Linked DNA regions of Oryctolagus cuniculus. The protein of the gene in region 1 interacts with the protein of each later gene in a biochemical or structural test. Links are inferred from orthologs where the notes say so. Each region holds a gene or a part of one and is shown on either strand. Other genes may lie near its edges.

Evidence for each region. The genes of interacting proteins can lie anywhere in the genome.
Region 2: the proteins of TNKS2 (region 1) and LNPEP form a complex in vitro, tested with the Homo sapiens proteins (4 studies listed by BioGRID and IntAct, with this or other methods). The link is inferred for Oryctolagus cuniculus from reciprocal best matches to the Homo sapiens genes TNKS2 and LNPEP.

The regions. Positions count from the first base shown.
Region 1 is NC_091446.1:38,638,921-38,642,585, reverse strand, and holds part of TNKS2 (poly [ADP-ribose] polymerase tankyrase-2), read left to right. Parts: intron 1-520; coding exon 521-707; intron 708-3,069; coding exon 3,070-3,226; intron 3,227-3,665. UniProt on the Homo sapiens protein: Poly-ADP-ribosyltransferase involved in various processes such as Wnt signaling pathway, telomere length and vesicle trafficking.
Region 2 is NC_091445.1:19,698,738-19,702,417, reverse strand, and holds part of LNPEP (leucyl-cystinyl aminopeptidase), read right to left. Parts: intron 2,466-3,680; coding exon 2,325-2,465; intron 1,374-2,324; coding exon 1,292-1,373; intron 510-1,291; coding exon 378-509; 3' UTR 1-377. UniProt on the Homo sapiens protein: Release of an N-terminal amino acid, cleaves before cysteine, leucine as well as other amino acids. Degrades peptide hormones such as oxytocin, vasopressin and angiotensin III, and plays a role in maintaining homeostasis during pregnancy.

The sequences.
Region 1 (3,665 bases):
GGAGTACATTTTATGATTTATACTTTATGGTTATAATATGATTACCATAAGGGCAAAAATAAATATGGATGTTGACTGTTAATGTTGTTTTAAGATCACTCTGAGAAATTGTGTTTTGTTAACTAATTGATTGAGTATAAAATTGAAGTGAGGCCTGAAGATCACTACAGAAAACTACATTCATCCTTTTCTGATTTTGATTCTGAACATCTTAAACTACATTTAACTTCAATGTTCACAAAGTGATACCTGTGGTTGAATCATGAACTCCAATTTTTATTTTTTGAAGCTTTCTGATTATTTATGTCTTAAGTTGTTGAGAGAGTGAAACAGTGAAAGGAGCGCTGTCTCCCTTTTAAGTAAAGGAAATAGAATAATGAACTGACAGTTAACTTAACCTTTATTGGTTTTGGCTTTGTGGTGGTGGTGGTATATATTTAAGAATTTAACCTCAAAAAGGCTTTAGTTCTTTTTCTAAGATAAGTTTTAAGTTATTGTTACCCATCTGTGTGTATTTCAGGCTCTCCCTTTGTGAATGCAATTATCCATAAAGGCTTTGATGAAAGGCACGCGTACATAGGTGGCATGTTTGGAGCTGGGATTTATTTTGCTGAAAACTCTTCCAAAAGCAATCAGTATGTATATGGAATTGGAGGAGGTACTGGGTGTCCAGTTCACAAAGACAGATCTTGTTATATTTGCCACAGGTAAGAGAATATTTGTTCTCATTTATTTTGATAAAAATCAGAAAAGAACTAGTTACATATTTGAGAAATTTGGGGACCAGGTAATATTTTGGACAGCTAGTAATCCAAGATACATATATTTTAGGTTGCATTTGGATCTCATTAGCTATAGTAACTAATATTTATTATATGACCTTTATGGAAAACACTTCTTACTTAATGTAATTAACTCACTTAATCATTAGAATACCTAGTGCTTCAAAGGATGCTAAATTGGAGGTGGACAACTGGTGCAGTGGTTAAGGAACTGCTTGGAATGCCCACGTCCCATATGGGAATACCTGGATTAAAGTCCTGACTCCAGTTCTGATGTCAGCTTCCTTGCTCATGTGCACCTCGGGAGGCAGCAGGTGATGACTCAAGTACATGGGTCTCTGCCACCCACTTGGGAGACCCAGATTGAGCTCCTGGCTCCTGACTTCAGCCTGGCCCAGCCCCAGCTGTTGCAGGCATTTAGAGTGTGAACCAGCAAATGAAATATCTCTATTTCTCTACCATTCAAAATGAAATTAATTAAATTTTTTTAAATGCTGAATAAAAAAATAACATTGAGGCCAGCACTGCAGCTCACTAGGCTAATCCTCCGCCTTGCGGCGCCGGCACACCGGGTTCTAGTCCCGGTCAGGGCGCCGGATTCTGTCCCGGTTGCCCCTCTTCCAGGCCAGCTCTCTGCTGTGGCCCGGGAGTGCAGTGGAGGATGGCCCAAGTGCTTGGGCCCTGCACCCCATGGGAGACCAGGAGAAGTACCTGGCTCCTGCCATCAGATCAGCGCGGTGCGGCGGCCATTGGAGGGTGAACCAACGGCAAAGGAAGCCCTTTCTCCCTGTCTCTCTCTCACTATCCACTCTGCTTGTCAAAAAAAAAAAAAAAATTGAGGGGCTGGCACTGTGGAATAGCGGGTAAAGCTGTCATATGTAGCACCGGCATCCCAAATTGGGCACCAGTTTGAGCCCTGACTGCCCCAGTTCTGATCCAGCTCCCTGCTAATGCACCTGAGAAAGCAGCAGCAGATGGCCCAAGTCCTTGGGCCCCTGCACCCATGTGGGAGACCCAGAAGAAGCTCCTGGCTCCTGACTTCACTCTGGCCTAGACCTGGCCACTGTGGCCATTTTGGGAAGTGGACCAGCAAATGGAAGATATTTCTCTCTCTCTCTCTCTCTCTTTCTCTCTCTTTCTCTTTCTCTCTCTCACTCACTCACTCACTCACTCTACCTTTCAAGTAAATTAAATAAATCTTAAAAAAGAAAGAAAGAAAAAGATAATACTGAGCATGAGAGAGATTTTATTGTAGCCCTTGAATGCTATAGGACTGTGAGTTAAGACGTTAGAATTCAGGAGTGGGCATTTGGCCTGGCAGAAGTTAAGACACCAGTTAAGATAAGTACGTTGCACGTCATAGTAACTGGGTTTAGTTCCTGTTCTGGCTCCTTTGTCCATCTTCCCAGCAATGCAGACCCTGGGAGGCAGTGGTGATGGCTCATGTTAGTGGGTTCGTTACATCCATATGGGAGTCCCAGATTGAGTTCCTGCCTGAGTCCCCAGGCCCAAGTCCCAGCTGGTACAGGCCTTTGGAGAATAAATCAGTATATGGGATTCTCTTGCTCTCTCTTACATATATAAACATAATTATATTTTATCTATCTATATGTATGTATGTATTAAATGTAATTTTAAAGCAAGAGACAAGTGAAATCTCCCCTCTGCTGGTTCATCCCCTAAATGCCCACAACAACCAAGGCTGAAGCAGGCCAAAGCCAGGGATCAGGTACTCAGTCTAGATGTCCCATATGGATGGTAGGAACCAACCACTTGAGCCTCCCAGGTGGGCGTTTTCAAGAAATTGGTTCTGGAGCTGAGCTAGGACTCAGACCCAAGCACTCCAGTATGGCATGTAGGCATTCCAAGTAGCATCTTAACCACTGTGCCAAAAGCCTGCCCCTGCCCCTCAAGTATATTTTGAAGATGGAAGCAACTTAGTTGGATAAATGTCCAGTTTTGCAAGCCACCACTTAGAAACCCCTTGAATTGTTCCTTGTTCCCTCTTGGCCTATGATTTTTATGTTTTTGCTGGAATTACAAATAAGATCTTAAAAGTCTGAATCTCTATAATGTCATTACATTTTTCAGGTTTTGTAGTTAAAAGATTAAATCAATAAGGGTAGTAGAAGACATTCTTACAAAGTTCTTTTAAGAGTAGAAAGGTATAAATAATTATAAATGTTACATATGAATACATTGTAAAGCTATGAGTATACACAAATAATAACTCGTATTTACATGTCAGATTTGTCTTCAAGCTGATCTTTTCCTTTCTCTACCATAGACAGCTGCTCTTTTGCCGAGTAACCTTGGGAAAGTCTTTCCTGCAGTTTAGTGCAATGAAAATGGCACATTCTCCTCCAGGTCACCACTCAGTCACTGGTCGACCCAGTGTCAATGGCCTAGCCTTAGCCGAATATGTTATTTACAGAGGAGAGCAGGTAACACTTTTTTTTTTTTTTTTTTTTTGCCTGTATTTAAAAATAGTATCCGGCCACATTTTAAATTCTTTCTAATCTCTTAAATTGGCAAAGTACATTGCCTTAAGACCTGCATTTTTTGAATGTTTATGTGGAAATAATTTCAGACTTGAAAAGTTTTGAAAATAGTAGAGAATTCCTTTTTGCCCTTTACCTAATTTTCCAAATCTTAATATTTTATTCTCTCCCTTTCCTCTGTCATCCTCTCTCACTCACACCCTCCTTCTCCATGTGTATATATGAGCATATTATTTTTTGTGAACTGTTTGAGAGTAAGTTACAGGCATGTCTCTTTGTCCTTAAATTGTACTTGAGTTGAGTGTGTATTTCCTAAAAACAAGAACATCTAAAATTACCAAAATCAGAAAAATACCTTTGATATTACTGTATGTATTCTGCA
Region 2 (3,680 bases), on another chromosome or scaffold:
AGATGGTGGCTCTTAACGGTAGACTTGATCTTGTTTCACTGCGTCAGAACCTTTCTGGATACTGAGACACAGAACAGAATTTCCAAACTGATGTTTCCCCTCTCATTTGTGTATCTTCAAAGTAGAAAAATTACTCATCATTTTTGTAGACAGTTGGCATATAGGTGAACGTACATTTGTAATAAATAACTACACACTGCCCAAAGACACTTTAGAAAAGACAGATGAGAAACACAGTCGGGCCCTGAGCTAACTACAACTCCTAACAGTGCAAACAACTTGGCAGCGGGCCTGGCTTCACCGTGGCTTTTGCAAAAGCAGCAGAGCCCAAGTTCACAAGCTCTCCAAACGGGTGACAAAATGAGGGGCTGCGCATGCTACAGCCACCACCGCAGAGTCTGGAGGTTCTTCTTCACCCACTGGATGTTCAACTGGATGATCTCCAAAGCCTCCCGGACACAACGGAGCTGGAAGGTTGCCTCCGACTGATTCTCAAAGAATGCCTGCACCTGTAAGTTCCACAGAGACGTGGAAGAGAATTTAAGAGGTTTATTGTCCTTTTCAAGCAAGCGTCAAGTTAGTGATGGCTATGCTGGTATCTTGAAAACAGCAGAAAGAAACTTGTTACCTCAAGGACCCACACGGAATTCTGAATTCTCCTTATCTGCACAAGAATGAATTTTTCTAACTTAAAATAGAAAAAGGGGGGGGGCAGGCATTTGGTGCAGCAGTTAAGACGCTACTCGGGATGCCTGCATCCTATACTGGAGTGCCTGGGTTTGGGCTGTGGTTCCACTTCTGATTCCAGCTTCCTGCTTATGAGGAACCTGAGAGGCGGCAGGGGCGAGATCAAGCACCTGGGTCCCTGTCACTCACGTGGGAATGAGTTCTTGGCTCCTGGCTTTGGCCTGGCCCAGCTCTGGCCGTTCAAGCTGTTTAGAGAGTGAATCACCAAATGAAAGCTTCTCTCTCTCTCTTTCAAATAAATAATAAGAAAAACCTATCTAGTAACAATAAATAGAGTCTGAAGTTAGGCTTGGCTCTATAAATTCACCTTTCAATTGGATTCTCCAAAAACAGTTTTATGACCACTTAAATTATTTATATTGCTGAGAGCAGCATCCAAGTTTTCCTCCTTACCATGTAGAAGTAATCTAGGTGCAGAATCATTAACCCTGATGAGGCCAGCAGAGAAGGCAGGAATTCCCACTAAAGGTCACCCTCTCAAACAAACTGCGCAGCCTGGGGGACATGGCTACCCAGCCCCCTCCACACATTTTATAGAACCCACCTCAGACAAATGGGCCTTTGTTGAAAACAGGTGAGTTGATCCTGCAACAATACTTTGTATGGTATAGGAGCCCAGGTGGAACCTGAAGAAACACAAAGACAAGAGTTAAAAAATTGAGACAGTTGCTGGGCAAGCAAAGCACAAAGGAGATGCCTTCCTGCCAGAGAATGGAGCCTATCCTGGGACTGCAGTCCAGGGAGTCAGTGGTGGGCAGAAAAAGGGAGGAGCTCAGGATATCCAGAGAAGTCACTAATCCATTTCATCTCCTGACAGATCAGATCACACTCCCAGAAATGTCACTGTGGCTTTATTTATTTATTTATTTATTGACAGACAGAGTGGATAGTGAGAGAGAGAGACAGAGAGAAAGGTCTTCCTTTTTTGCTGTTGGTTCACCCTCCAATGGCTGCCTCGGCTGGTGCGCTGCAGCCTGCGCACCGCGCTGATCTGAAGGCAGGAGCCAGGTGCTTATCCTGGTCTCCCATGGGGTGCAGGGCCCAAGGACTCGGGCCATCCTCCACTGCACTCCTGGGCCACAGCAGAGAGCAGGCCTGGAAGAGGGGCAACCGGGAAAGAATCCGGCGCCCCGACCGGGACTAGAACCCAGTGTGCCGGCACCGTTAGGTGGAGGATTAGCCTAGTGAGCCGCGGCGCTGGCCTACTGTCGCTTTAAAAGACACAAAGGAAGAAACTGACATGTGCTGTCTAGCTGGGTGTGAGCTCTTAACTGACGCCTAGGAAATGAGGTATTTTCAACCCACAAGGGCCTGTAGCCACACTGAGCTGAGCGGACCCGGCATCAGCCGTGGCTGGGCAGGACCAGGACTTTCGCACAACACTAGGGTCACATGACTCACACAATGGGACTGTGTTGACAAACGTGAACACTTCTGGATGTTTCAGTTAAACAGTCACAGAAGCATCTGTCTGTCACAGCAAGTCCTAACTCCCACGAACCAACACAACACTGGGAACTACTTCTAGGAACACCACTGGAGAACGCTGAACGTCAGTAATTCGCTGACAAACTTACTTCTGTACAAGCTCATTCCAGTTCTCTTTGACAAAATCCCACGCCAACAAGTGTCCAGGAAAATGCCGGCCCACTGTTCGGATGATAAACGACAGCTTTTGTGTTCGGATGATATCTCCATCAAGGCTAGTCTTCATCAACCTGAAGAGCAAAACAGATCCAGCCTCCAAAACAATTATTCACAAAGAGCAACACCTGAACCTAAGTTAGGATTGGTTTCCCGATTAAAGTTCTAGAGTAATTCAAGTAAAGTAAATGTTGAGTAGTCTAAGACTCTTCACTGGTGATTTTTTTATTTTAATGAAAGGTGTTTACAAATGCTGACAAACAACAACAGCTTTTGATCCAAGGATATTTGGGGAAAAAATAGACAGAAGGGCCGGCGCTGTAGTGTAACAGGTAAAGCTGCCGCCTGCAGTGCTGGCATCCCATATGGGTGCCGATTTGAGTCCCAGCTGCTCCAATTCCAGCTCATTGCTAGGGTCTGGAAAAGCAGTAGAAGATGGCTCAAGTCCTTGGGCCCCTGCACCCATGTGGGTGACCCAGAAGAAGCTCCTGACTCCTGGCTTCGAATCAGCACAGTTCTAGCCATTGCAGCCATTTGGGGAGTGAACCAGTAGGTGGAAGACTTCTCTCTCTCTCTGCCTCTGCCTCTCAAATAAATAAATAAATCTTTTTAAAAAATGTTGATGGAATTTATTACCATTCTGGAGACTTTTTTTTTTTGGTAAACACCTTATTTGATTTGAGCAGGCAGGTGTATTACGTTAATACTCCTAAAAAGCTGAGCTGTTTGAATGATCTGACAATGAAGATACACTTCAGAAGGTGCTCTTCCTGGGGCAGGCGCTGACTCTAGCAGTGAAGACATCGTGACCCACAGCAGCACCTGGATTTTATGTGTCGCTCTTAACCTGCGTTTCCTGACAACACAGATGCTGGCAGGCGGCAGTGATGGCTCAAGTGATTGGGTCCTTGACACCTACGAGGGAGACCTGGATTGTGTTCTGGCTTCTGGCTTCAGTGCTGGCCCAGCCTGAACTGTTGCAGTCATTTGGGGAGCAAACTGGCAGAGGGGAGCTTTCTGTCTCTCAAATAATTTTTTAAAAAGAACACACTCTTATTAATTAATATTAGTAACTGGTAATTAATATAACCAGTTGGTATTATATTGATACTATGTACTAGATATTGTTCTAAATCCCTGACAATACTATGGACTAGGCGTTTATGACCCATTTCCTTTTTACAGACAAAGAAACTGAAGTTATGTAACTGTCCTCCAGTTAGGCAGCTAACAAGTACTAAAGGTTGGCATCTGATTGTTAACTGTTCTCACCTACTATGCTATACCAT